7 linked regions of the Coturnix japonica genome follow. The protein of the gene in region 6 interacts with the protein of the main gene of each other region in a biochemical or structural test. Links are inferred from orthologs where the notes say so. Each region holds a gene or a part of one and is shown on either strand. Other genes may lie near its edges.

What was found.
Region 1: the proteins of PTPN6 (region 6) and ERBB4 form a complex in vitro, tested with the Homo sapiens proteins (2 studies listed by BioGRID, with this or other methods). The link is inferred for Coturnix japonica from reciprocal best matches to the Homo sapiens genes PTPN6 and ERBB4.
Region 2: the proteins of PTPN6 (region 6) and PECAM1 form a complex in vitro, tested with the Homo sapiens proteins (2 studies listed by BioGRID, with this or other methods). The link is inferred for Coturnix japonica from reciprocal best matches to the Homo sapiens genes PTPN6 and PECAM1.
Region 3: the proteins of PTPN6 (region 6) and LCP2 form a complex in vitro, tested with the Homo sapiens proteins (2 studies listed by BioGRID). The link is inferred for Coturnix japonica from reciprocal best matches to the Homo sapiens genes PTPN6 and LCP2.
Region 4: of the proteins of PTPN6 (region 6) and ROS1, one has a biochemical effect on the other in vitro, tested with the Homo sapiens proteins (2 studies listed by BioGRID and IntAct). The link is inferred for Coturnix japonica from reciprocal best matches to the Homo sapiens genes PTPN6 and ROS1.
Region 5: the proteins of PTPN6 (region 6) and PDGFRB form a complex in vitro, tested with the Homo sapiens proteins (2 studies listed by BioGRID and IntAct, with this or other methods). The link is inferred for Coturnix japonica from reciprocal best matches to the Homo sapiens genes PTPN6 and PDGFRB.
Region 7: of the proteins of PTPN6 (region 6) and SYK, one has a biochemical effect on the other in vitro, tested with the Homo sapiens proteins (2 studies listed by BioGRID). The link is inferred for Coturnix japonica from reciprocal best matches to the Homo sapiens genes PTPN6 and SYK.

The regions. Positions count from the first base shown.
Region 1 is NC_029522.1:7,052,851-7,056,677, forward strand, and holds part of ERBB4 (receptor tyrosine-protein kinase erbB-4), read right to left. Parts: intron 2,769-3,827; coding exon 2,622-2,768; intron 137-2,621; coding exon 39-136; intron 1-38. UniProt on the Homo sapiens protein: Tyrosine-protein kinase that plays an essential role as cell surface receptor for neuregulins and EGF family members and regulates development of the heart, the central nervous system and the mammary gland, gene transcription, cell proliferation, differentiation, migration and apoptosis.
Region 2 is NC_029533.1:7,271,656-7,275,989, reverse strand, and holds the start of PECAM1 (platelet endothelial cell adhesion molecule), read right to left. Parts: upstream 2,915-4,334; 5' UTR 2,631-2,914; coding exon 2,597-2,630; intron 2,443-2,596; coding exon 2,416-2,442; intron 1,567-2,415; coding exon 1,273-1,566; intron 829-1,272; coding exon 529-828; intron 444-528; coding exon 174-443; intron 1-173. UniProt on the Homo sapiens protein: Cell adhesion molecule which is required for leukocyte transendothelial migration (TEM) under most inflammatory conditions.
Region 3 is NC_029528.1:13,164,881-13,168,707, forward strand, and holds part of LCP2 (lymphocyte cytosolic protein 2), read right to left. Parts: intron 3,337-3,827; coding exon 3,271-3,336; intron 2,572-3,270; coding exon 2,540-2,571; intron 1,971-2,539; coding exon 1,936-1,970; intron 1,162-1,935; coding exon 954-1,161; intron 437-953; coding exon 336-436; intron 1-335. UniProt on the Homo sapiens protein: Adapter protein primarily involved in signaling pathways within T-cells, as well as other immune cells such as platelets, mast cells, and natural killer (NK) cells.
Region 4 is NC_029518.1:57,715,293-57,719,653, reverse strand, and holds the start of ROS1 (proto-oncogene tyrosine-protein kinase ROS), read right to left. Parts: upstream 2,950-4,361; 5' UTR 2,761-2,949; coding exon 2,647-2,760; intron 866-2,646; coding exon 812-865; intron 1-811. UniProt on the Homo sapiens protein: Receptor tyrosine kinase (RTK) that plays a role in epithelial cell differentiation and regionalization of the proximal epididymal epithelium. NELL2 is an endogenous ligand for ROS1.
Region 5 is NC_029528.1:4,811,817-4,815,643, reverse strand, and holds part of PDGFRB (platelet-derived growth factor receptor beta), read left to right. Parts: coding exon 1-76; intron 77-185; coding exon 186-455; intron 456-738; coding exon 739-866; intron 867-1,175; coding exon 1,176-1,350; intron 1,351-1,882; coding exon 1,883-2,075; intron 2,076-2,297; coding exon 2,298-2,413; intron 2,414-2,928; coding exon 2,929-3,055; intron 3,056-3,218; coding exon 3,219-3,430; intron 3,431-3,827. UniProt on the Homo sapiens protein: Tyrosine-protein kinase that acts as a cell-surface receptor for homodimeric PDGFB and PDGFD and for heterodimers formed by PDGFA and PDGFB, and plays an essential role in the regulation of embryonic development, cell proliferation, survival, differentiation, chemotaxis and migration.
Region 6 is NC_029516.1:69,598,458-69,602,713, forward strand, and holds the start of PTPN6 (tyrosine-protein phosphatase non-receptor type 6), read left to right. Parts: upstream 1-1,270; 5' UTR 1,271-1,933; intron 1,934-2,055; 5' UTR 2,056-2,139; coding exon 2,140-2,153; intron 2,154-4,256. Other genes in the region: C1H12orf57 (protein C10), read left to right, coding at 419-473, 557-733, 824-972. UniProt on the Homo sapiens protein: Tyrosine phosphatase enzyme that plays important roles in controlling immune signaling pathways and fundamental physiological processes such as hematopoiesis.
Region 7 is NC_029547.1:39,246,765-39,251,263, forward strand, and holds the start of SYK (tyrosine-protein kinase SYK), read left to right. Parts: upstream 1-1,421; 5' UTR 1,422-1,715; intron 1,716-1,758; exon of another isoform or gene 1,759-2,802; intron 2,803-4,499. UniProt on the Homo sapiens protein: Non-receptor tyrosine kinase which mediates signal transduction downstream of a variety of transmembrane receptors including classical immunoreceptors like the B-cell receptor (BCR).

The sequences.
Region 1 (3,827 bases), on a different chromosome or scaffold from region 6:
CTTCCCTCCTTCCCACTTCACATTGCAGAGTTGCTCACCTGAATTACCAGGTACCTCTGGGGGTCTCGAGCCATTCTAGAAAATTCAGCAGCCAGCTCCTTGAATTTAGGCCGACTGTCTGCATCAATCATCCAGCCTGGGGACAGAGCAAAAACAAGAACATAAGTGGCTGCTGACAAAGCAGGAATTTTTAAAAACTGAACAACTTAGAAGAGAAACGATGTACTTGGCCTAGAGAAAAAACACGATAAGGAGCCCAGGAAGAAGGGAAAGGTGGAACTCTAAAAGGAGAATACGTTTAACTGGCCAGAGGAGACCAAATGTTCTACACTGCAAAGATTTCTCACTTTGCTCTGCCAATTTCTGGATTTGCCTTACCCATTTAGTTGTCAACTCTGACTGTTTTTTTATTACGAATCTGTCCAACTTCTAATTAATCCTGGATCTCACCTCAGCCTAGTGGGTTTATTACAAAGTTACTACTAAGCACATTTTTTTTCTCTAACAGAACTACTGTTCCACAGTAGCTTACGTTACAAATTGCTGCCCAACAGGATGACTGACCTCCCATCCCACCTTTCAGGAGTAATTTTTGCATTCGTGTATCTGCATCATTAACACAGACCCCACATGAGGCATCGGATGCCATTTTAATTGTTCAAGGGCAACTCTTTGGGCCTTCATTCTCCCAGAAACGTTCATTAGAAACAATTCTCAATCCTTTCCAGTGCTTTCTGTAAAAACAAGCAAGTGGCACAGGCAGTCACCACCAGCAACTAGTTTATCTCAGTGTCAGCTTTTTCTAATGGAAGATTCTATCAGCAGCTTCCCAAGAGCTTGTTCTCATTTGCCAGGGAGGCAGAACGAAGCAGCACTTATCTCCTTCATAGCCTTTAATGGAAGAAGTGACCAAAGCAAAAAATAAAAATAAAAAAATCCAACAAAGCTAATACAACTTACAAAGAACTCCACTCAAGCATTACAGGACTAAATCCATACATCTAGATGTGACTTTCCAGAACAGTCAGACTCCTAGGATTGCTTCCTCTCACTGAGAATTGCCTTGCAGCACTCATAGAAATACTATCAACTTGAGTATTTTTGCATGTGACTGATCTAAACCCCTCGTACCGTTCAGGTGATATTCCCACCTGCATGCATTTATGTTAAAAGGTCTGTGATAGTTCGAGCAGCTTTCACCTCTATTTCCTAAATCTACCTGAACTTATGAAGACTCCTAATGGTTGTACATGTGCTTCTGCAATATTTATTCATAAATAATAGAAAACTACTAGTGAGTTAGGATCCTCCCTGAAGTCACCAAGCTTGATTTAAATATCTAGCTTCTTTATTAAGACTCACAGAACTGCCTTCAGTGTAGGAACAGAGTATAAAGGAGAACTCATCTATTAACCACTACCAACAACTCTTCTCTAGGTAGCGCATGAGACAATCAAATGTCAGCTGTTCTCATATCAGTATGTAGCAGTAATGCAAAGCTGATGTTAAAAAGCAAATCCTTCTCTATATCCCTACCACAGCTATCTGGCTGTAGTTCTCAATAGGATGGATCTTTATTGTCTTAAATGTCAACATGCATCAAAAAACAAACCAACTTGTACTCTAGATGCGGTCAAATTTTCCACCATAGATAATCAGCAAAGGGCTCAGTACTTCAACAAATGGCTGGGGAAGGAGAAGATGGAATTCTGTACGTTCCAAATGCAAAACCCTGGATTGCACAGTATGTCTGCACTGTGAGCTTCATGAACTGCTGGCTGCTGTCAAGTCTAACTGTACTCAGAAGAGGAGTATTTACCTCTGCTGGTGTTACCTTCTTTCTTTCAGTGTTTTTGTGTACAAGGCAAAAGGGGAAGGTTCATAGAAGACAGATGAGCTGGCTACATGTTAATCTCACTTAAATTAAGTCAGAAACACCAGAGAGATGTCCTTAATTCTTTTTAAATTGGAAACACAGCCTTGGAGAATACAGTCACTAGTGTTGGTATCTTGGAGATAAAAAGGGTAGGAAGAAACCAAGCGCAAGCTGTTTTCCTTTTCTGCCCAATTACAGATATCCATAAATTATTATACTGGACTAAGAATGATAAACCTCCTTTCAGTGTAATTTCTTACATTAATTCTAATTTTTATTATTACTACTGCAATCACCAATCCTTTTACTAACAATAAAACATTCTTGCTTTCTTTCCTCAGTATCTGGAACCAGCATTTTTCCTTGCAAACTTCACTAGCTGAGTATCCATGTACCATAATTATGTTTAATACTATCTTTTCTAACATCAAAATCAATTGTCATGGAAATGACAAGGGTTTACAATAACAATGATACAATTTTGACTTCACAGAAAGAATATGAGATACCATCTGACAGTAATAAGAAGCTAACTCAACTCCTTCAGGGCTAAATCCGTATCTTGCAATTGCAAAAAAAATGCACATACAGTATTTTAAATGGAATTTACAGTATCTCGGGAAGCTTTTGTTTTGAAACTGCCTGCTCTATTACCAGGCATTGTCAGAGACTACGCATGCAAATATTCTAAAAAAGGATTCCTCTCACACTGAACGCAGAGACTGGAAAAGCTCCAACTACTTACATTTCACCATCACCATATAAACATCAATAGTGCAGATTGGAGGCTGGGGCAACCGCTCTCCCTTCTCCAGCAGGTCTGGGATCTCTCGAGTTGGGATCCCATCATATGGCTTTCCACCAAAGGTCATAAGTTCCCAGATAGTGACCCCTAGACAGAGAAAAAGAGACTTAATATTTGAGGTTGAGGTACTCAGATTGCTTCCCAGTTTCCTACAGCTCAGTACTGCGGCCTGGTTCTAGATTGGAGTCTCTTCTTCATTACCAGGGCCTGTAAAATTGTGCCCGGTCTGCCATTTAACGAGCTACAGCAAACGGAGGAACAGCACTTTGTGTTAATTGACAAGAGCGCCTTCCCTCGTTTTTATTGGCATAAGAAGGAGCATGATAGATTGGAGGCACAAGACAAAGGTCTAAGACGGATAGGTAGTGGGAAGGCAAATGGATGCAAAAATGAAAGAATGTGTCTTGCACTCTTATCAAATCAAAAGGGAAAATGAATAGCTGATGCTCTGTTATTTTAAGGGGAAAAACACAGATGTTCCCTAACTTAGAACATCAATTTCACACAGAAGTACAGCACTGAATAGCACTGTGTCACTGTCTTTGCCTCCTTACTCATTCACAGCCACCTGTATTATTATTTTTTCTTAAATCACCCTATGGATTTGAGTTGCAATAGCGCTGTGCTTAAGTAACCAAGATCCTCTCTCTTTGAATAGCCATAGGATTTGTTTTGGTATCGGAGCTGGAAATAAAAGTCATATATCATAAGTAACAATTTGTCAGCAAACAAAAACTTCAATACTGAAAACGCTGCTCCCACATCAGTTTCTTTTGTTGCTGTTTTAGTTTCCTAATTTCTACTGCAAAGGTCATTTAAAACACACCTCCAGATCTGTAACCATATTTCCACAGCTGTCATACTAACCTGAAAAGAAATGGGCAAAAATACCTTACCTATAAAGGCATGTATTCAGTTTACCTTCAGTCGCCTCTTGGCTGATATTCAATATATATATTCAATAACTATAACTTGCCAACTGGTTTTGCTTTTGTTCTTTCTGATGATAGATACCATGGGCTTCCTGCATTTAAAATGAACTTTCTAAATGGAGAAATGCTTTTTCCTGAGTGATACAGGTGTACAGAACTTCTCTAGAAAGAGCAGTTTTCTGCAATCAACTGAATTCTCATTTATTTGTCCTAG
Region 2 (4,334 bases), on a different chromosome or scaffold from region 6:
ATCTCCTTTGTGTTAATTGAAATTATTAGCAACAGGTAAAAATCGGTAGCCCAAATGTAAACAGCCTTTCAATTAGGGAAAATTCTCTTTTGAATCTGGACATTACCTTTGCAAGTCTACCAAAATTAAATATTGTTCCACTGAGCAACATCTAAGATGAACAGAGGAGTTACCTGCCACAACAACATTCCGTGTGGTGGTTTTAGATGCTTTCCCTTCTTCCACCTTACAGAGGTATTCACCGCTGTCCTCTAGAGTAGCCACTGTAGAATATTTCAAAGTTGTCTGATCTCGTACACTGCTCAGTATTGTTTTATTCCTCAGAAGTATGATTTCAATGTCACGCATTTTGGCTACTACAGTAGAGCATTCAAATTGTATTTCTTTTCCTTCTGTAATGTTACTTGAGGGCTTGATGCGCAGAGTTGGCTTTATAAACGGTTCTGCAAGAGAATATATATACATAAAATCACAATCCAACTTATTAATTGTGGCAAGCAAAAGTATTTAAAAAACTAAGAAGCTTACCCTTGACTGTTATAAGTGTTCTGTTGCTGGGTTCTGAGGTTTCAAATTCAAACTTTACACTCCTCCTACCCAAACAGTCAAATTGTAAAATATTATCCCCTTCATCAACGGGAAATTCTATAACAGAAAAATTCCTCTGTAGTTCATATTTCAGTTTTTCTTTAGGTGTTGAATTCATCTTTATCTTCCGGAAAATGAAATGTAATGGAGGCACTTCTTCTGGCAGCTCACACCGTAATTTCACGACTTCGCCCTCAAAAACTTCTTTTTTCTCAGCGATCAAAATTGGTTTGGTCATTCCTTCGAGCAGAAAACAAAGCAAGAAACAGATCAATGCATCATCCTAAATCAAACTCTTGTCTTTGATGACTGTGGTAGCAATTTATGGCAGCAGGAAGAAAAAAATTGTTGGAAAGAACTAGGTTTGGGATTTTTTTTATGCTGCACTCCTGTGAACATTGGTGGCGCCTGTTTGCATAGAAGATAAAGAAACAAGATGGATGTAACATTGTCCAAAAAATAGCCCCCATGTGACTCCAGATTTGGTGATGGTTATCACAATATTATCATTTCATTTCTGTGCCTTTACATGAAGACTGAGCATGAAACTCTTGTAAAGCACCATGACAGCTACAGATTAAAAGTACTTTGCAAGATATCCTATTTAGCACTATAACTATTTACTCTCAGAGGTTGTTATCATTTTGTACCTTAGAAAACTGCCATGTTTGAAGGAATATTCACCTGTTACCCAAACATGTAGGGAATCACTGTATCTTATCTTTCCATCTGCTTCCACAGCACATTGGTAGTCTCCTGTATGTGAAGATCTGGCCATGGGTACTTCATATCGTGCATCTCCTTTTCCTGATACACTCATGAACACAAGTTTGCCATCCTTAAAAATTGTAATATTATGCTGCAAGTTGAAATTGGTACTTTTGCTAATATCAGCACGGCATATAACTGACATAGGAGCTCCATTCTTCACTTTGGCAGATGGCTGAACCTTGATATGAACTGCATTGAAGGTAAAAACTTGATGGAGAAAATAAAAAGAGTTACAGTTATTTTCAAATCATCCAACATAGCACTGTCACCTCAAGCTACTACATTTTAACCAGTAAAATTAATCCAATTTGGCCAGAACTGCTAAATTCCTTAAGAGACACTGAGGGTATTGGGATAGGCTTGCAGCAATTTCTTGGCTTTCCTTATTTCTGATGGCTTGTTGTCTCCAATTACAATTGCTAGGAGATCTGAACAAAATTGTGCATCTATCCTTGTTTGAGTAAATGAAATAATACAATGTAAGCCTGTTTAGAGTCGTATGAAATCCAAAGTCAATCCATCCCTAAGCATATAACTGGAGCCCCTGGATCTATTCCAGTATTTTTTCTGAAATTAAGGTTGTGCTGTTCAACAGCTTCCATTTAAACACATACTTCATTGACTCGGGATAATCCTAAACCCCTAGTTTAGGAAAACTGGAGTATAGTAGAATATATCTGGCTTCAGGGCATGCAAGCAAACACGTATGTGCCCATCTTGACGCTGTGGGCTGTCCTTAACATCACACTCATTAAGTAATCTCAATACAATCACAGGCAGAAGTAATGCCTCCATTTAATTTAGAATTTAAACTTGTCAGTTTGTGAAAAAAATATACTGAATACAATATTTTGACTACAAACAACAAAATAAAGTGACAACAGCAACAACCCCTCCACCCCCCACCCCCCCACCCAAATCCACAATAGCTAATTTGCTTTTGTAGAGCTGTAGTGCAGCAAACCAAACAAACTCTCATGTGTGCACATGTATAACCAATAAATTAGTTAAATTACCTCATTTAAATATGTACATGAGAAAACTATATTTACCTACCTCTTTCCTGAGCGCAAATTTCTGAACCTGGAAAGAAGTAAAAAGAAATATTCTATTTAGTTTATGGATAGAGCAACAGCAACAGACAACTATAACAAATAACACCACCAGCACAACAACAAAGCCACAGACAAGTCAGAAGAACAGGTACATGTCCACAAACAAACGTTATCAAACTTACACTGCAAGAAAATCACCAGAAGAGCAAGATACATCTCGTTCCTGGAGAACAGACACTTATTTCCAAAATAAAGCAATATTCATCATCCGAGGTGACGCCACCAGATTCCCAAATCAGATTTGCTTTATTTTGCTTTATGGTAATAGATCAAAATTTTCCATTAAAAATTGTAAGGTTTTGCAAATCTTCAGCAGAAACTGGCCAGGTCAAGTGATCGTTCCCATTACTGGAAATGGCAAACAATGAGAATCTATCTGCTGCTCACAGGCAGATTACTGCTCAGGAAGTGACTGGACTTTTCCTGAGGGCGCTACCAAATGCATTCGCTTTGTTTAATTTCTTAAGGTGTATTAACAAAAAAAAAAAACAAAAAAAACAAGAAGTTCCAGGGACATTTATCCTGCAGTTCCTGTCCATATATGGATATTTTTAACTCACGATTAACCATTTAAAAATACAAATTATATTCACTATTTGACTTTAGCAGATGTTTAGCAAACGTTTCTCTTTACCCTGAGACTAAACGTACAGGGTTATTCATTTTTCTCCTATCACTCCACACCTATGTCCGTCACCTTTGCTGTGGCACAGTTTTAATGTGGAGTTGGCAGTAAATTCAAATCAGTTCACAATCCACAGCTTCTCTAGGATTAGATTAGAATACTGACAGACAAACCTCTTCTACAACCATCACACATCAAAAACACAAACACACACAAGTTGTTATTTTGTGTAGCTGGGACTGGGCAAAACACACAGTTAGAAATGTTTAACCCCGGAATAAATGAACAGGCTGAACTTTCATTTCCCTGCAGAGATGTGAAGCAGCACTGGCAAGAAAAAAAAGAATTAAATAAAAAAGCAGAAATTGAACCGTGACCTCAGGAAAACACCCCACTTCAGCATTTGGCTCTCAATTTCTGTCGGTGTCTGCCTGAGATACAGCAAAATAAAATGAGGTACAATTCAGAACACCTGAATTACTGAACTTCCTTTAACAAAACGGAAGGGTCTTTTCCTGATTACAGAGGAAAGCCTAAGGAAAGTAAAAAGCCTGAAGACAAGTACATCAGTAGGCCAAGTTGCGCCGTGGAAGACTTATTTGTGAAGAAACCTGAAATGTAATCATTATCCAAAAAATCACAACCATGGCCAGTTTCTTGATGTTCAGATGGTGAGGGGGTGAGAGAACTGGGTGGAACAAGGACAGCAAGAAATGTGCAGAGATGCCGTCCTGTCCTTACTTTGGCACCGTGAATGTACATTTAATCTTAAATAATCTGACACTGCAGAAATGGCAGATTTAAGCAACAATTTAATTTTTCCAAATAATATTTACTTTATAACTTTAAAGAAATTCATTGTTCAGAACCTTTCAGTTATTCATCAGCCAGTACATGGCTATTACAGGGCTATTTTGCAAGGGGGAAGGGAATGCAGAGTGCACAGCATTCATAGCAGTTAATGACTAGGAAGTAAGCTGGATAACCAGCAATAGTATTTGTTCTGCTTACTCTGGACTGTTTGAAATATATGGCCAACAAAGACTGGTGGTTTGGCTGCTTCCCAAAAATGGTCTCCAGAGCCAGGTAGAGGAAAGGAGGAGGAGGACACAGAGCAGATGGAGAACAAAAGTTCGATAAATTTTGCTATTAATAACAATAATAATAATGATAATAATAGGAAGGAAGGAGATTTCCCCCTTGCTCTGTAAAAGAATTCAGCATGATACGGAAAG
Region 3 (3,827 bases), on a different chromosome or scaffold from region 6:
GAATATTTTATAGGGATGTTCTGAAGGACTGTTCTTATTGTGAGAGCTGGGTCAACAAATAGTGCAGCAATCTAGGACACAACTAATGAGAACTTATAAGAAACAAAGACTGTGAAAGAGTTTAATATCTGACCCATCAAATTGTATTGTTCCATGGAAAAAAACCCACACTCTATAAGAGTTCAACTATTTTGACACCTTAAAAACTTTCTTATTCCTCTACACATAATAATTGAATAACAATTTATTTATTACACTTGGATTCCTCCTAGGTACTGTCAAAGTAAATAGGTGAAGTATTTCATTTGCTCTGAAATATCAAGAGAGAAACATACAGAAGCACCTCTTCCCCCAAATGAGGCTGGTGATGGGCTTGGGCCAGGCCGCTGGGGTGGTAGTGGAGGCTGATGTGATGATCTGGCTGTTGGAGGCCTGTCTAAAGAAAAGAAAAATCCCAAGCTCAACAACTATGAAAACGGTTTTGTTATTTTATTCTCATTAGATCTTTATGAAGAGATGTTGCATACTTGATCTGATGTATCATACAGATATTATGTTAGTGTTTAATGGGCTGTTGCTTTATGATAGTGTATGATTTAGTGTTCCTTTGGGAGCTAGATGCTCATCTGTCCCCTTGATGGTGGGACTGTACCTGCCTGGTAACTCATTCTGATCAAGGAACAACTGCTAAAGCTAAAATAGTATGTAAATTTTTCTTAAACTTTATGCAGGCTCCAAACCAAGAGCCAGATTGTGCACACATCACATGAAACTTATCTTTAATCCAACAGAGCTTGTCTGAAGTAGAAGATTTAGCTTTAAAAGGTATAAAGATATGAACTTGCAGCATCTGTGCTGCTTTGAGATAAAGCCTTCTATATCCCGTTAGCAGCCACGTAAATGTAAATGATAATGTGAAAACATTACTTTTTTTATTTTTTTCTAGTAATTACCTATATAGTCTGTGCTGTTCGCAAGTGACTTGGCAGGAAATATGACATTGTGGTGTGCTTCATCATTACTGGATGGAGGTGGCTCATAGCCATCACTGTCATGTTCTGCTTCCTCAGTTTCTTCCGTTGGTGATTCATAGTCAGCCTCGTCTTCCTTTTCCTGGTCATCATCAGGGCTTTCATAGTCGTCATCTTCATCCTGATCATCCTGACCAACATATATAAAAGATGAGTGCTATAACAGGTTACTTTTTTGCAGTATTCTACAGACTGAATTCGGACTTTAGAAACAATTCTGAAAAAAAAAATAAAAGAGGTTTGTGATACAGGTCTGGATACTCTGACCAGAACAAAACCAGACATATACCACTAGTATCTTATTGGGCCCTAACAAGATTGCAGTGTAAGCATGGTAGCGGTCATTGCACACATCTTCTGTGCTGTCTGCCTTGACTTACAGAAGAAGTATTCTTAGACATTGGGGTTGTTTGCTTCGTCTAATGAAGTTTACCAGTGCATTTAGTATGCTGAAAGACAGAAAGCATCCTTTGCAGTCTGTCTGGCTTTGAGAAATTGATTGGATTTTTCAAAAAGTAAACTTTATAGAGAACAAAATAGCAGGATTTTGCCCTTGAATAACACAGTAACCTTCCATTTTCTAACGATTGCTTTCAAGAGCTTGAAATAGGAATATAAACTTTAGCTAGTCATAATTTGTGAGCTTGTACTTGAATCAGTGGTACAAATCTGCTGTTGCAAAGCACTGCCTCGTATTACTGGGCAAAAGCCCATTCCTCAGTGAAATTTGCATGCAGCTACTCCAATCATTCAGGCTTCTCTTTTTCCTTAGCCTAACACCCCGTGCTACTGACTGATCCATCCATACTGTCTAAAGTAGGTAATGCAAGAAATAATAGAGATTACAGAAAAGTTGAGTCAGTCTACTGTTGGACCAGTATGTTATGTTAGTCCTCATACTTACAAATGAAGACCAGCCATCATCTTCTTGACCGTATCCTGCATAAAGAAGTTTAAGCACAGTAAAATTTGAAAATGTCAAGACATTATTTGAAATAAAAGGACAAAAAACCATCCCAAATTCATTCTGAACCACAATGCCACAGTTCCTACTATAGCAGCAACAATGTAGGCCTGTCAAAGGCAGGCAGACTGGCATCCGCAAGTAGCTCATGCAAGGTTCTACAAATAACATTATTGTTTGAAACTAAGAGTAAAACTTTCCTTATGTGAGATTATACAGTGTCTCATCTAGTTTGTCCTGTTCTTCATGCTTTAAAAATCATTTGAAGTAGAATGCTCTCAGAATAAGCACAGCCTTTGTATCTCTTAAAAATTGCTATGGCAATTAAATCTAAAGTCATTTTAATGTCAGTAGACCTGGGGGAGCATTCTCTCATTAGTACAATTGTTGCTGAAGTGTGCAACTTTTTGCTATTTCTTCAATTTTTCTTTTATGCTTTTTTTTGCTTTGCCTTGTCTCGCTTATCGTACTCTACAAAGAAGAACCTACTGGTTTAATGTTTTTACACACTATTTGTGCTTAGAGACTGTCAGTACGCACTTACCTGAGTTTTCAGGACACTTTTGTGTTTGGCCCCTGTAACAAAGATATAAACAAATAAATTCCTTCCAATTGCAATTTTTAAACGTTTTATGTGCACTAAAATGTAATGCACTAAACCTAGTACACTGAATTGCTAACAAAGCTAACGTTTAGATTGTAAAGTAAAATGAAATTTGTTTTAATTAGTTCAACTTCACACAAAATACCATAAACACACTACTTTATATTTCACATACAGTCACCAAATGTCAGCTCAACTGTCCTGAATACAAGGCCAAGTCAGTGAGGTGGTGTGTATGAAACTAAGTGAAACTCAGTGAGTAAATCTATCGGGAACATCAGTCCTTGGAATAGAACTTAACATATAATATATTTGTCAGTAAATTGTGATGCATTTTGAAGTGTAATGATGTACAGGTCTGTAAATTCCATTAATTTTGACTCATTAATATAATGTGTCCATATTTTATAGCATTCTGAAAGAGTAATTTACTCAGTTAGAAAATTGCATGAAATTTGTATCTTTATTGGTTTCAGACATGACAGAGGGATCCAGGTTGTTCATGAGCTCAAACACTCCTATTTTTAACAGACAGCATTAACAACACAGTTTTATTTTATATACTTCGCAGGTGATCCCTCTGACACACAGGTGTTGTGGATCAAACCAATAACAGTCCAGGAAAGATTTGACTGATAACTTTTGAAAAGAAATCAGAGTTTTTCACTTACCATTTTGAGAAGAAAGAGATCCTTCCTTCATTTCGGTTTATATCTTGACTTAGTTTACTCAGAATGCTGTTTAAAAGAACCACAGAAGTAGTTTTAAAAATACTCCTTGAAACCTGGCAGTCACTTTCTTAGCTGCTTTCCTCCCATTTTACCACCATTAAATGAAATGTTATGATTTGGATTTATCGTTTACTATGTGGTAAGAATACTTAATTTCTCTTCTTACTGCAAAGCTACACTGTAGCATAAAGAAAAAGGAATGGCTTGTAACTATGCAGCTGGATGTTGGACTTCTTCACATGGAGAAGAACCTGTATTTTTGGATCAAATTTCAATATCAATGTTAAGCTCAGCAAGCCTTAGAAATTTGGGGTGTGGTAGACGTCAGGCACTAGAGCAGTGCTTTAAATAATCATCTTACATTTGTATTACTTTGCATGAGAAAAGCGGATGCTATTTCAGGAGTCAGCCTCTTTTAAGCCTATGGTCACAGAGTTGAAATTAAGTGCATCTTGTGGCAACTTTTCTTTTTGTCCCCCTTCCTCCACAGTCACTAT
Region 4 (4,361 bases), on a different chromosome or scaffold from region 6:
ACCTCTTAATAGCTGTGTGCATTTTTCTTTTTAAAGGGAAGAGGAAAGGGGATGACTTTAGAAGCAGGAGCCTCTGACATCATGTACTACAAAGCCTCATGAAAAAAAAAAAAAGCAAGACTTGATAACAACGAGCAAATAGTCAACTGTGCTATGTACTGTCATGACAACACAGCCTTTTATGGTTCCAGTATCATAAAAGATCCAGCCTTGCTAGATACCAGGTGCTGAGAGGCACCTTCTCACTAGTCTCTGCAGAAAATATTGATGACTGAATTGTCCATAGTTCTTCTAAGAATATATATATATAACTACCAGCTTGACTTGTGTTTGAAGTTGGAAGTAGAAGAATGCTGGCTTACAAGAATTCTGCTACAGAAGGTACATGTTAAGCTAAAGAGTCTCCTGATATCAGTACAAACCTTTGAACTCATACCTAACTCTAAATCTCAATCGATTGTTTTAGGTTTTCTCCCATTAAACCACTGAGAAAGCAAAATAAGCAAAACTGAACTGTACAAAGCTAAAGTTTGTAATGATTTATATTCTAGGGATAACACTGTTTTTCCCCCATTTTCTAAAGAATGACTGGTTATGAATCAGTGTGATTATGAATTTTGTAGACAAAATCTAAACCCACTGAGTCAGACTCTACACATCAAGTTTTCTTTAAGCAAAAAGAATGATAATTGCCCCTGTAGGTACATATATTATTTACATCTGGTCTTTGACAATATGGTCATTGTACCCATGTTATTCAAATAGCAGTAATGCAAACTGTCAGTAATTAATAAAGCAAACCATTACTCACTGCCACATTGATGTCACTAACATTACAAAGGTTAGCAATTCCAAGTTCTCCTTCCTACAAGAGGAAAAAATACATACATTTTTACAGAGTCAAGATGTGTTTCCACCCCCTCTCTTCCTACCCCTCTCCCTGCCCTCCCCCCCCCCCCCCCCCCCCCCCCCCCCCCCCCCCCCCCCCCCAATTATTTTATTAAAATAAAACACTGGTTTCTTGTAAAACAAAATTTCTTTGACTCATGATTTAGTCATATGAATAGGTGCATTGCTGACACACAGGTAGCTTCCCATTTGAGACCAATTTCAGGGCACTGAAAAAAAGAAGATTTGGCAGAATCAAATAGCACAAATTTATTATCTCAGGTATGAATTTGGCCCTCACCCCCTCATTCTGGTTCACTGAGTCAGTAACAACTGCTTCATAAGTAAATAGGGCATAAATGACAAAGGCAAGTGTCTTTGACCTCTGGAGAGCAGAAAGACCTTCATTCAAGCTAATTGGCTTCTGTCTGGCCTCTTTTTGACAGTCTTTGTGCAGCCAAATGGTTACTAGCCTTCTTCTTTGGCCAGAAAAGCCAAAGCCTATATTTCCATGTCACTCCAAGTGTGCAAAACCAGTCACCTGTTGTGAAGTACAAATGATGTGGGAGTATATCTAAGAGCCTTTGAAAAGCTGAATGCTAGATCTTAGATTTGGTCCTGTGAGCAAGTAAGATCATTCTTAACAAAACAACCCTCAGGTAGAGATTCTCAGCACACTGGAACACAGGTAACGTGACAGTAAGTAGAACCCCAGACCCACGCAAAGCTGTCACAACGTAAATGTGAACACAACAAGTAGACCAAAGAAGAAAAGTAAGATCTACAGCTGGCAGACTCATCTGAATCCCTAACACAATATATTCACCGAACACGAGCATGAATGCGATTTTCCTGTCTTTCAAAGCTGATAGGAAGAGCAACTCATTTCTTATTCTGAGCTAATTTAAGCTTAAATCAAAGGATCTCCATTAAAGTTATCATTGCATGCTAGGTTCCCATCAGGGAAAATAATTAACTCTTTCATTGGTGCTAGAGTTAAGAAGTAATTCTAAAGGAACCATCAGGCAAATGTATGAAACAAAATGGAGCAGGTAATAGCCTCCTGCAGTAGGTTTACACAGCCAATTAGCCCAGAGGCACAAAATGTACTTTTTATACAGCAAAGGTACATGGTCTTCTAAGCACATCAGTGTTTCAAGCAAATAGAAACAAGTAGGTGACTCCTGAGAGCCTGAGGTAGAATTATTGTTTGGATTTGTGAGCTTCTGCTTATCTTTGTTGCGCATCAGTAGAAGGAAAAGTACTAAATTCCCCTCGACTCAAAGGAATACTGAGAGGACCTAGCCACTTGCTTAACTTCTTAAAAATTTACCTATTATTTAAGAGGTTCAAAAAGGAAAATGAAACAAATTCAGGATAACTGTGGAAGCAACTGGGTGTTTACAGTTTTTCTAGTGTTACATAAGAAAAATCACAGACTAGACAGAAACCATTAAGTAAAGTGAATAAACTGAACAAAAAATGTTTCTCTCCTCCACACTTCAGGGTCTTTGGAATTTATAGTAATCTTGGGATCTGCTGAAACAAAAGCATAAAATGAAAACTCATGCAATCTGGCTAATGGGATATTTTCTTTACCAGGTTTTACAAGTTCAGTTGTAAAATATTAGTTCTCATACTCTGCTTTTACTCAAATATACTATTAAAAATTAAAAACTTAATAGGTAACTGAAAATTCTTACAGTGCTAAAAACCAGATGCGTTTCAAAAGATTAAGTAGAGTTTTTCAGAACTTACCAGGTTACTCGTACATAGTTCTGGACAGTTTTTTAAGAAAGAACAATATGCAGCAGAAATCCAAATGAAGTAAAAAGTACAAAATCTATTCAGCAGCAGGCAAGCGTTCCTCATAACGTGAGCAGTTTCATCTGGCAGCCTGATTCCTTCCTTGTCTTGGCCATACAAATTCTTTCAAGTCCAGGTGGCAGAGACACCACTGTGAAATTTCTACTTTATAATTTATTAAATATCTTTAATTCTTTGTTTACAATCCATTCCTTGTACGACCTTTCTGCTTCCTGGAGCAGTTGCCTTGAAATTGCACAACATCTATTTCACAGTTTCTTATTAAACCGCTGAAACAAAAGGGGTGACCAATGAAAGTCAGCGTATCTCCTTACACAAATATCATTAACGTCAAGAGGAAACTAAGCACAATGCTTTCAGTCAGGTGCTGCAAACAACACGGAAATGGAAAGATGGAGAAATCTTAACTTCTACTACTACTATGTATTTTCAGATCCCTACAGCTAAGTGCATTTGTTCATGTTCATGAGTAACTTTGTTAGGACACTACAGGTCATATCAGTCAGTATAAAAACATTAATTAATTCTATTCAATATATTTATGCCCATATTATGGAGGAAAATAGAAGTGAATAGATAAATCATATATCTGATTTAGAGAGAGGTAAAGTGCCCTATATCAAGTTAGACACCAGCATTAAAGAAGTCAGTGGGAATTCAGGCTTGAGATACTTGCATCTTCCAGCCTGTGCGCACCTCTACTGTGCTAGCAGAGCTATCCACAAAGTAACTGTGAACTGGAATAAGAAATCAATCCAGCCTATGTATTTGTATGTATAAATAGATACTGTGTTATTTCTGTACATGTGTTTTGTGTGGTTTTGTGTGCGTGTATATGCAAGCACAAAAGTAATGTAGCATTTTAAAGACCAGTTTGAACTGTCACATCCCACTGACGTGATTATCCCCTCATACTCAAACCTTTCCACCTCTCTCCAACTTCCTTTCTCATCATACTCTCCAACTTCCCACACCCAACTCATTTGCCAAGAAAATGATCATGTATTCATGCAATGACCTAGGTTGAGAATCTGGTTAACGCTAACCCAGCAAAAAAAGAAACAAACTGGTCAGCATTAACCCAAAGTTATTGTCTCTGATGCAGGTCACAGCACAGTTCTGTGTGCTGCTGCACTCAAGTGTGGTGGATGAAAGGAGCCAACAGCACTGAGGCAGGAGTAAGGGATAATCCAAGCTGGAGGGATCAGAGGATATTGCCAAGCACACGGCCTGCAGAAGAAAAGACTTTGTAGAACAGGATCCTTCCTTTTCTTCCATTTTCCCTGGAAAGCCCTGAGGGGCTTTCTCACTACTGCCCAAGGGAACTGCTTGTGAACAGTAAGACTTTAGGCTTCCAGCTATACCGGTGGAGGGAAGGGAGCCACTCCCTCAACATTTTGCCACCTCTCCACTCCAGACAGCTGCTGCCCTTCTCTAACCCACCAGCAAAGCTGCTCAAGAAGAAACTCCTTAGCTCCAGCCAAAATAAACAAGGTCAGTCTGATTGCTTAAAGAGTGGCTCTTTGCTAATCCAGCTCAGCCTGGTTGAAGAAGCTTTGTCAGTGCTTGCAAAAACCGTAAGTCTGAAGAGGGAGCTGGCAACAGGCAGGTGTAGGCTGTGATGTCTTCCCCAGAGAGGAATGCAT
Region 5 (3,827 bases), on a different chromosome or scaffold from region 6:
GAGTATGCGTGTCTCTACAGCCCCGACCAGGCTCCAGAGCGAGCAGAGAGGAAAGCTCTCTACATCTATGTTCCAGGTAAGGGACAGCACATCCTTGTCTCTATGTGGAAAGGCCCACGTGTGGCACGCTGGAGCAAGCAGTGGGAGAGGTCGTGGTGTAATGAGTGTACCCCTCTCTCTTATAGATCCCTCCTTAGTTTTTCTCCCTGCAATCACTTCCGAAGAGTTCTTCATCTTCATCACGGGCTACACAGAGGCCACCATCCCATGCCGCGTGACCAACCCAGAGCTGCAGGTGACCCTTTATGAAAAGAAAGTGGAGAATCCCATTCCAGCTGTTTATGACCCACAACAGGGCTTCAAAGGCTTCTTTGAGGACAAGACCTACTATTGCCAAGCAATCGTGGATGACCAAGAGGTGGATTCAGACACCTTCTATGTCTACAGGATCCAGGGTGAGCTGCCCTCATCTTGGCTTATTTCTGTAGCTGTTGTGGCCATTCTTTCAAAACAATAGGGATGGGATAGAAAAGCTTTCCTCCTGTCCCTGTGATATCCCTGATCAATTTAAGGGCTGGATTTAACCCTGTCTCTGTTAAAGAACAGGTCCTGCCAAAGTGGCAGATCTATACCTCATAGAAGAGATTTCAAGTGAATAAGTCCACCTAAGATAAATGGACTGGGTGTCTGCTCATCTCTTCCTTTATTAATCATCCCTTCCTTTGACACTTCTAACAGTCTCATCCGTGAACGTCTCCATCAGTGCAGTGCAGACCATAGTGCGTCAGGGAGAAAATGTCACCCTGATGTGCACTGTCAGCGGCAATGAGCTGGTCAACTTCAACTGGGATTATCCCCGCAAGCAGGTGAGTGCACCAACCCCAGCCTTTGCCCATGTGTCCCATGGCAGTCACTCGTCAGTATCATAGCAATGTTCAGGAAGCTTCATGTCATGGCAGATGTAAGATGTTGCTGCCATTCAAGAAGGCTCAGTGGGGAGATTCTTGTGTGAAGGCTGGCTGTCTCAGGGGCTTTTGATGCATGTTCCTTGTCCCCATTGTAGACAGACCAAGGTCTGCCCACTTCTCCTCCCTCCCCGTGAGCCTGGCTCTGTCCTCCATTGGCATGAAATGCTCTTGACTTCACACACAGTATCTCTTGTCCCCATTGTGCAGGCAGGGAAGGCTGTGGAGCCAGTGACCGACTTCCTGCCAGGATCCAGCCATGACATCCGTTCCATCCTCGTCATCCAGAACGCAGAGCTGGAGGACAGTGGGACCTACGTCTGCAATGTCTCTGAGGGCTACCATGAGAAAACAGACCGGAAAGACATCACGGTCCAAGTGATCGGTGCGTCACTGACCGTGCTCTCAAAGGCAGCAACCCACATGGGTGTTGCTCCAGAATGGCAAACTCCTCTCTCTGCACAGCCTTCAGCTCCCTCCCCTTCTCACCCCACCCTCATTAACCATGGCAAAAAGTCAGCCCTCACCCCATAGCATCCCTGCCGACTTCTTGGCTTTGACACATCCAAACTCCCCCATCTGAGATTTTGGGACTCTAATATATTTGAGGGTTTGTGTGAGAGCTCTTTTGCACTGTGCAGTGCCAATGTGTTCTTAAGTCAACCTCCCACCTACACCTGTGCTCCTTTGCGGGAAGCTGCCCATCTCTGAAAGGTGACAGCCCATTCCCTGCATGTTATCTGGCCTCTGAGCACGCCCCCATGCTCCCCTTGGGCATGGACCTGAGACCTAAAGGGATGAACCTGGAGCTGCTCCATCACTTCAGGGTGTTTGATCCCAGACCCATGGTAGCTCATAGGGATGGAGAGGTGACTGTGTCTCTCCCTGAAGCCTGTATCCTTCTTGCCTCTTCTCAGAGCGTGGCTTTGTGCACTTCCACACCCACCTGGCCAGCACGGTGTATGCTGAGGTCCACAAGAGCCACATCATCCAGGTGGATGTGGAGGCCTACCCACAGCCAAACATTGTGTGGCTGAAGAACAACAAGACGTTGACCATGGAGAGCAGCAGCGAGTTCACCATCACCAACAGGAACCTGTCAGAAACCAGGTGAGGGCACATCACTCCTAACCAGAGGACAGGGAGGGAATAATTCACAACACAAAGTGGTTGGGCACAGGATGGTGGTTGGACACGGGATGGTGGCTGAATGCTGACCTTCCTGTGAGTGGATTCTGTGCATTCCTCAGTTGTGTGGGAGCTGGTCCCTTCCAAGCAGTGTCAGCTACATGGTACCTTCCTGCATGCACTCTATGGCTGTGTCTTCTCCAGGTACCAGACATCTCTGGTTCTGGTGCGTGTGAAGCAGGAGGAAGGAGGATATTACACCATCCGAGCTTCAAATGAGGACGATGCACAAGAGCTGTCCTTCCATCTGCAGATAAATGGTGAGGATGTGCATGCAGACACGGGGCCAAGGATTGTGGGGGTAGTCCCAGGGGGTGGCTCCATCCTTTGCTCCAGGATTCTCAGCCTGAAGCCTTTACACCTATGACTACAGATCAGGGGGGGTTTTGGCCAAAAGAAGAGCATTAAAGTGAGGACAAAGATTGCCTGAAATATCTCACACCTGGTCTTATAGCCAGGGAAACAAGGAGGCAGGGCAGATACCAGCCTTCAAGTGTTGGCCCAAGGATGCAGATGCATCTGCAGATGCAGAGGTGTCCTTATGTAGTTCCTCTGCTATACAAGCAGAATAGATAGGGTCATCTGTGGTCTTCCATGATCACCTCAGCCCTTTCTGGTTTTGCTTTTAGTTTCAAAAATAAGGCACGTTTCCTCTAAGTCTTACTTCACTGTCACATCAACCCTGTGTCACAGTGAGGATCTAGGAGAACTTCCTTCCTTCCCCATCTGCATTCAACACTGAGGATTAATTCCCACCAATGTGTCTTGGTTTCAGTGCCAGCCAAAGTGGTGAATCTCAAGGAAAACAGCAGTGCCAGCAGTGGGGAGCAGACTGTAACATGCTCTGCTGAAGGGATGCCCCAGCCAGAGATCAGTTGGTCCACGTGCAGCAACATCAAATGGTGAGCAGAGAGATGGAGCCCATAGGAATGACAGGGCTCATGCATTTTTAGAAACAATAGACACTTTATTTTACTGTGTTCTGCTGGCCCACGCAGTTGGAAATCCCATGGTGCTACGTGGGTCTGGCTGCACCTTAGGTGCCTTTATCCTCCTCTGGTCCAGGTGTGGCAACCAGGGGCAGCCCACCCAGCTGCTGGGGAACAACTCTGCGGAGATTGGCCTGCACACCAACGCCACGTACCATGCAGAGCTGCAGGTGTTCCGTGTGAACAGCACCCTGCAGCTGCACAGGGTGGATGAACCCCTGCTCCTGAGGTGCACCGTGCAAAACTCCCTGGGCACCACTTTCCAAGACATCACTTTGGTTCCAAATGGTGAGCACTGCAGGAGGTGTTCAAGTCGGAGGTGGGGAGATGGACTTTCCTCTCTGTGCCTCCAGCCTGGAGGTGCTGGGAGCCAGCAGTGTCCTCTGATAGCTGCAGTCCTCAGGCAGAGAGCCTGGATATTTCTGCCCGAAAGGAAGCCTCCTTTGTGTTGAGTGGGAAAGGCTGCTCTGAGAGCAATCTGTAGCCTTCGTGCCCACTGGCCATGGCCATTTTGCTCCCACTCCCGAGCAGGGCTATCCCTCCAGGGACTTAAGAACTGATCAGGTCCCCTAGTGTCTTGTTATTAGCCCGAGGGTCACTAGATGGTGCCACAGACCCAAACAACTACATGCTTTCCCAAATAACAGAGAGGAAGGTCTCAGCTGGGAAGGTCTGACCCAGAGGA
Region 6 (4,256 bases):
TTGCTCGGCGGCCACGTCTATCCGTCACTCAGCCTGTCACTCAAACCCGCGGTGGGCGGGACTTGCGCTCAGCCGCACCAATAAGAAGCCGCTGATCTGCATAAAGCCAAGAGCGGCACGGCCGGGCTGCAGTGTGTTACTACGGCGGCCCGTAGCGCGGAGCGGCTGCGATGTGTGTGGAGCAGCCTTGACCCGCTCGGATGGCGGCCTGGCGCTCGGGGCCCACTCACCCTTACCTAGGGGCAGCTCTGTGCCTTGTGCCCCCCCGCGCTAAGAGGATTGAGGCAGTGATTTCAGCTCTTTTAGTATTTGTCCAGCAGGTTTCCCGCCCCGCGGGAAGCCCCACAGTGCAGTGCAATGATAGGGAGGCGCTTGGTGTGTGGGAGGTGCCTTGTGGTGAGGGGCAGCGTTAGGCCTCATGGCGGCCTCCGCACAGGCCGCACCGCCGGCCCTTAGCGCCGAGCAGGCCAAGGGTGAGCGGGGCTGTGTGTGGGCTGGGGTTGTGTGTGGGTGCTGGCTGCCGTTGTGCTTGTTGTGATGATGTGTGTGACCGCAGTGGTGCTGGCCGAGGTGATCAAGGCCTTCGGGGCGCCTGAGAACGTGCAGCGCATGGACGAGGCCCGGGAGAACGCGTGTAACGACATGGGCAAGATGCTGCAGTTCCTGCTGCCCGTGGCCACGCAGATCCAGCAGGACGTGATCAAGGCCTACGGCTTCAGCAGCGACGGCGAAGGTGGGCGGGCCCGGCGGAATCGGGGCAGGGCTCGTTCCGCCCGGCTCCGGCTTCATTCCCTCCCTCCCTACCTCCTCCCTCCCTTCGTAGGGGTGCTGAAGTTCGCCCGGCTGATCAAATCCTACGAGTCGCAGGACCCGGAGATCGCCAGCATGTCGGGCAAGCTGAAGGCTCTGTTCCTGCCCCCCATGACGCTGCCGCCGCACGGGGCTGCTATCGGCGGGGTGGCCGCCTCGTGATGCCGGTGATCCCCGGGGCTCCGTCCTGAGCCTTCCCCTATGGCTGGGGCTGTTTGTGCTGCTGCTCAGCCGGCCACGGGAAACGGAGCAGTTAAACGAGGAAAATAACGGCGTGAGATGAACTGGCCCCTTTGTGCATGTTTCTGTTTTTGCCTGTGAATAAAAGACGTCTTGAAAGTGCCCTCGTTGAATTATGAATGGACGTAAGCTGGTGCTGCTATGCAGGTATAGGTCCTTCCTGATGCAGGGCAGATGTCTTTGCAAGAACAAGTATTTACAGATGTGTTGTTTGAAACGTATCAGGCAACATGTTCCCCAAAACAACACTGTCCCTGAGATGTTGTCCAGTGTTTAAATGCAGCTAAGGCAGCGCTGCTAATTCATACACTTCCCCATATGCTCCTACAATGAGCTTCTGTGCCTGTATTCTGGTTTCCTGTCTAAATGTGTGGTCAGACTTGTCGGACATTGTTATAAGAGTGGCAACATGGTGTAGCAAGGACTGGGAATAATTCACAAATGTCTCATTTTAGCCTTCTGGTATGTGTGCCTGTCGCCCATGGAGGTACTGGGATCTTTGGGAAGGATTGAGAGCCAAGAAGGGCTCCCAGCCACCACGGGCTGAGAGAACAAGCTAGAGCTGTGAGGGCTGTGTTGGGTTTTGCCTTCTGCACCTTGGTTACAAACCAGGTAGGAATGTAGCCGGTGAGGGTGTGAGCAGAGTGGATAGGAAATAGGAAGAGCAGTCCATCCCTTCCGTTTCTACCTACCTCTGCCAGCCTGGCCTTTCCCCACCCCTTTACTTATTTATTAACTACAACCCAGGAAGTGTTTTGCAAATGGTGCAAACCAAGCCCTCTGCCTGGGGCCTGCTTTTTGCCTAGCCTGGAGCTACCACCTTTACTCTGCCCAGAAACAAACAGAGCTCAGTCAGGATCCTGCCTGCGTGGATCAGACACGGGTGAGTCACGGGACACACGACAGACCCAACAGCCACTCCTTCCTGCCATGATCACCCAGCCATGGCAGCGGAGCTCAAGTCCACCCCTGCTGCTTCCAACCTTGCTTTATTTCCTCCCGTAGGACCCCCTGGTTTAGGGGTGTTGTACTTCCTCCAACAGCTGCTGTTCATACCCCAGCAGTGGGGATCTGCGTGTCAAGATCCCGATGCCATCCTGTGGGTGAGTGCTCTGTGTGTTAGATAAGGCAAGAAAACAGAGTTTTGTGTGTGTGTGTAACAAAGACACTGGCAGTAGGAATTGGGCACACATGGGAAAGATATGCCTTAAGCAAGGTGCTGGAGGACTAGAGCTTTGGTGTTATTGCTGTTACCATTGCTCCTCCTTGCTTGGATAATGAGCGAGTAGTTTGTGATGCCCAACCCACTGCCATTATCCTGCAAGCTGTGGAGATGCAGCATTTCAAAATGTTTTTGGACAGAGGGTTGGCCTTTTGAATCTGAGCTATTTTCGATTGCTACAGTTTTATTTCTCCTTTATGGAAGAGCAGGGCATGCGGTCTTTACCATCAGTATAAATGGATGTTCTGTTGCAGTCTTTACCATCAGTATAAATGGGTGTTCTGTTTTGAGGACTGCAATGGTATGGAGTAAAGAAATGCAATTTGCACTAGCCTGAATAGAACCTCCTGGTCAGATGGTCACACAACCTTAGAGAGCATCTACTTTGGCAGGTTATAGGGTGATGGTCCATATGCCCATTCCCTAGGACCAGATGGCCTTCACTGCTATGTACTTCTGGGCAGAACCGTAAGACTGCCTGTCGCAGTGCTGAGAATTAGAAATGGCAATTAACTGGTTTTAGAAAGTTATTCAGGATAATAGGATGGAAGCTGACTCAACGATTGCAGGAGGACTTTATGATAGTGGAATAACAGGCAGTTGATCAGGAGCTGAAATTCAATATAGGCATATGTAAAATGATGTTCTTAGGATCATAGAATGGTTTGGGTTGGAAGGGATCTTAAAGATGATCTTGTTCTAGTCCTCTCTGTTGTGACTCCCATCATCTCTAAACCCCCCAGTCCCCATTTTAGATAGTCTCAGACTGCTGTTAAATTCCTTAGCAAGTGTCTTTTCTCCAGACTGAACAAACCTAGCTCTCATTTTCTGTGGTGAACCCAAGCTCCTCATTGTCCTGATGGCCCAGTTTCTCAGTGTCCTTTTTAACAGCAGTTCAGTGCCTTTTAAGTACTGTTAACTGTTTAAGAATATCACCAAGAGCTCCGTTCTGAGGTGGGATATGTATGAATGACAAGGAGTGTGGGGTGGTATGGATATCTAGGGCAATAGGGGCCCATGGTGTCTTGGAACTTCACCTCTGAACAGCTGTGGAATCCTGAACAACAGCACATCCTGGTGGTTGTTGGGATTCTAGAGAGACACAAGTCACTGCAGTGTGCTGAGGCCTGGCCAAAGCCTACTGAGCCTTTGTCAGTACTATTCAGCACACTTGAGGGTGAGAAAATACCTCCGAATCTGATGACAGTGCAATGAATGGTCCCTGCAACTCCTCCAACTCCTGTGACAGACCCTGTGACTGCTCCAACTCCTGATGTTACTCCAAGCACTGTGACAGGCCCTAGAATTGCTCCAGTCTTTGTGACGGACCCTGCGGTTGCTCTAACCCTTCTGATGGGCCCTGTGGTTGCCCCAGACTCTTACGAAAGGCCCTGTGGTCACTCCAATCCCTGTGACAAGCCCTGTAGCTCATTCACAGAACCAACCAGTGCCAACATCAATTATCCCTATACACAAGAGTTTAAAATGGCTGCAGAAAACAGCCAGCTTATTTAGCAAGGAGAGAAACTCCTGCTTAGACAGAAGGAGGTGAAGATGAAGCAGATGAAGCAGAGCCATAACAAGAATGAGAGGAGCAGCGGGAGAGAACTCATAAAGGAGGCGTAACATCTGACCCCTAACCTTGGGTGAGCTGCAAGATATGCAAAAAGATTTCAGCCTCCAGCCAGCTGGAGGAAAGGGACAATCCATTTTATTGGACTATGTGGACTTGACGGCCTGGCACATTAGTACCACGGGAGTGTAAGGCTCTAGTGGACACCAGTGCACAGTGTACCCTAATGTCATCAAGTCATAAAGGGGCAGAACCCACCTGTATTTCTGGAGGGACAGAGGGATGCCTTTTCATACTGTTTCTCACATTATCCTGTATCTGGACAAAATGTCTTCTATACAGCTAGACAAAACCATAATGTGATGGGTGAGCAATTGGGTGCTGCCTCACTTTGATCATTGTGTTCAGTTT
Region 7 (4,499 bases), on a different chromosome or scaffold from region 6:
GATAATTTTCCCCTGCACAGGAGATGGTGGAGGGAGCTGGAAGGGGCAAAGCAAGAAAATATGCATTAAGATAGGAACATGAGAAGGGGGAAGATCCTATCATCTCCTCCATGAGGTGAGTGGCTACATTGATACGATCTTCCCCCTTCCCTCACTTGTTCCTATCTCAATGCACGTTTTCTTGCTTTGCACCTTCCAGTTCTCTCAACCATCTGCTCACCTCCATAAGATGAGTGATACTCAGCTGGTCTGTGAGCAGGAAAACAGCACTAGCCCCTGCCCTTTTCCATCTATCCCCACGCTGATTCTTGCTGTGGTACAGAGCTGGTTCCATCAGTGTCCCCTTCCATCTTGTCCATTACTTGCTTACTTGGCGAGGACTGGGGCAGAGTGCAAAACACAGGAAACCTCACCACTGAGCAGCAGTGCCCAGCAGCAAAGAAAATGCATTACTCATACGCTATTACTCAAAATCCCAGATAGGCACCATATCAGCTGCTGCGGAAAGTTAACTCTACCCTTACCAGGTCAAGTACTCTTGCTCACATATAATTAAAAGTCATGAAACATTTTTTTTTTTTTTCACCAATTTAAGAAGAAACTTCTGCTTAAAATCTTGTTCATAGCACAGTAATGACTTTCCAAAAGCCATTTCCTGTAGACTGTGCCTTTGGATGGTGTTAGGAAAGACTTATGCCATCAAAGGCCCTCCAAGAATCAAGTTTTCTTAACACACAGGTAGTGCCAATTCAGAAATGTATCTGCACTTTGGCAATCAGACCAAAAGAAAGGCCCTTTTCAACCGGTATGAAACATGAGGCTTTTGCCCTTTGGCAGCTCTGTTTAGTATAATGGATGTGGAAGGAGAGCCAGTGCTTCCTTGCAGCACCTCTTTCTTATACAATAAGCAGGCCCACTCACTGCAGCAATCACTTAATACAAGGGAGCAGGAAACAGACCTCGCCTCACGTTAGTGCTGCTCATCATGGCACACAACACCACCATGCAGTGGCCATGCCTGAAGGAGAAGCATGGCTGCAGGTGCACCTGAGGTGCCATTCAATGCCAGTGGCAGCGCATCCTGGAGAAGCTTGTTGCCGTCTGTTGCATGTGCAGACATCTGTAGTGGAATTGACTCCCTCGTACATGGAGCCTTAGGGACGGGGTCCTCTTCAGCTCTCTTCCACACCAGGTGTTGTCTCTTCCATACTAGCAGCGGCTACAAAATGAGTAAATACCATATGCAGCACAAAGATCCTATGTTGTTTCAAATACAAACCGTTTTTGCTCCTCCAGAAGCAATTTTCTCACCAAAACACAAAAGTACCAAAATACATTACATTTCAATGCTGACAATCAGCGGGTCTATTCATTTTCTCCCAAGAGACGACCACTCTTGCGTCCCTCTGCTTTCCCACGTTCACCTCACACCATCGGGCACCACAACACGCACGTCGGGGCGCCGCGGGTCGCACACCGCACACCCTCATGGACAAACGTTCTGACAGGCCGGGGGCCGGAATCGCCCGAGGGAGGGAGCAGGGGGCCGACAGTTCGTTGAGGAAGTGGCCTCGGCTGAGAGAGAAAACGAGGAAGCGGCGGCTCTCGCAACGCATAACTCGGGCACAGCTCTCGGCTGAGCCGCGCCGCTCGGCTCGCTCCCAGGAGGAGCCGGTGGGCGGCAGTAGGCGGCGAGCGGAGGAGCCGCCGTAGCGGTGAGTGGAGGCCACGCCGGGCCGGGGGGATGCTGGCAACAACGAGCGGGGTGGGCCGGGGTCTGCCAGCCGCCTTTTTTCTCCGGGGTTTACCCGGAGAGCGGCGAGTAAATGTGCCAATCTGCTGAGGCAAGCTGGAACGTTCCGTCCTTCTGTAGTAACATCGGTAGCCTGGCATTTGAGGAACTAGAATATGGAACTTAAATACAGAAAATATATAGATTTAGTCATGTTTTGAATGTGTTGCGGAGTAGTTTTTAACAGCGTAAAATTTACACTAAAGTAACTGTTCAGCTTCTGAATGGTGCATAGTATATAAAAGATTTGGCACCTGGGAAAATGGCTTTAAAAAGAGCTTCTTTCTTATAAAAAATCTGGATTTTGTTTCTGTCAGAATAATCACAGAGCATTGCTAGAAGTGCTGAATGTTGGTACTAAGGGTGCAATGGTTGACTTGCTGCTGATCATTTCAGTATTGGGCAGTATTTTCTTCTGTAGCTCTGTACTATGTGCAGTTTGTGCTGGAGTTCATTGGGTGTGGGTGTAGTAATGCCACCCTGGGAAGAGATGGATGCTGCTTTTGTTGGGTGACGCCGACCCCACCAGAGGTGATTGAGACACAATTTGGCCAGAATGCATGGAATATTACAGAGTAATTCCATTTCAAAACAAAACAATTCCATCTAAGGGAATGAACTCCTTGTAACTTCTTTTGATGTTCTTTTCAGTTGGGCTTCTTTTATATTCTTTTTATCCAAAGACATTTAGAATTCTCAATTCTTTGGGCTGAATCTGCAGCTTAATCCACAGGCACAGCTGTCTGGTTCAAGTGACTATCAGTCTTTTAAGCTCGGTGCTACTACAGGCTCAGAGGCCATGAGCTGAAGCAGAGCAGAACACGTTGAGGCAGCCCAGTTAGAGGAACTGTGTTGTTTTTTCATCCCTCTGTTGAACATTCAGTGATAGAGACAAATAAGGAAGTTTGAATGCTCTTTATTTCTGACAGTTTTCCTGTGGGGGAGAAATGTTATAGTTTGGCAAAGACTTTGAACTAAAAGGTTTGGAATCACCGAATGTGCCCCAAAATGTAAGTAATTGCTTCAGATTTCAAATGTACATGAAATAACTGCAAAACCCCATGATAAACTGTTGAAGTGTTCTTGGTTTTCTGCCTTTAGAAAGTATTAAGTCCATAAGATCAGCAGTGAACAGTGCTACTTGTCCATTTTGAAAGAAGAGCAGAATTAGATCTGAAGTTGCAGGAAGACAAAACCAGAAGTTCAATTTTAGTAGGAGCTAGCAGGTTACGCTGGAAACTAAACTGCATTTTAGAGCACTGATGGTAAAACCAGAAGCTGGATTTAAGCACCCTAATAACAAAAAATATAACATAGACATGTTACCATACACTTTTATCTTTGTGTGTGGGTGTGTGTGTATGTTATGACAGAGACATGAGGAGCAGAAGTCACTACTGAAATATATGTTGTGTTCAGAGTTCATGGGATTGCAATCAAAGTTTGTTTTTTTATAATCAGTTTTGATTCATTTTACTTTCTTTATGCTTTTTCATTACTCAATATTTAGCAAAAAACAAAAAACAAAAAAAAAAAAAACAAAAAAAAAAAACCCTAAAAACCAACCAAACAAACAAAAAAACCCTACAAAGCCCACAGTAAATTGGCTGACATTCCTAGTGAGAATACTGTGACTGTCAGCAATTGTGTTTGTGTCTGTATTTATGGCAGAAAGGTACTAGATGGTGATGTCCATTTTTCAGCTTTATGGACTCTTCGATCAGTGGTTCAATACCTGTTTTGTGCACACCAGTTACATGTTTAGCTCCAGGATAAAATGGCCGAAAAGGGGAACATGTATGATTTTGTATTGTAATTATAAGGAATTCAGTGTGTATCTTTGCATGTGAGTAACAATTACAGAAAGATCATTCCAGTCAGCTATTTAAAATTGTTTATTTTGCATTTAAAGATGAGGTGTACTTGTGTGATCTTCTGCATCGGGGTGAACATACTTGTGCCACTAAGACTGTGCACGACTTCAGTCTGAGCACAGTGTTCTCTTTAAAAGCTCAAGATAATCTTGTGAACATGAGAAATGTAGTTCAGTCATAAGAGTGAAAACTTATCACACTGCAAGCATTTGCAGGATCATCTTAACTTCTAATTTGGAGAAAATACCATTTTATTGTAGGGAAACAGTTTTGTGTTGCTTTATCTTTACATTCCAAAACCAAAATTAGTTCAGAATTTCCTGTCTCTGTGTGCACAATGACTAAGTGACCACTGCTTTAAATGAGTTTGTTGAAAGGAAAGAAAGGGAAAAATATTTTGAGACCAATTGAGCTTCAGTTTTCATCTTATAAGTTCTCGTAGGTATCTGCCACCTCTCTGTACCAGGTAACAGAACAACTTCAAATGTAGGAAATATTCTTAAATAGCCAGAATGCAGAAATGTAATAGAGTATTATTTTGTGTGGTTTCACTATCACTTGGTTTGTAACTAGCTGATGGTGGTATGTATTAATTTGAACAGAGAGGACTACCCTGCCTTTCCTCTTGCTTTGTCCCAGTTTGCTCTGGAACATTGTTCCTCAAAAGAAGTATGGAGTGCTAAGTGTCCTGAATATGTCCAGCAACTTTTCTACCTACCTTCCAAAATGCAAGGAGATGATGCTAGGAATCTTTTAGAGCTGATTCTCAGTAGAGGTAAACTCAGAAGTGCTAAAAGCTTTTACAAAAAAGTAGGACTAAGGTACTGGATGTA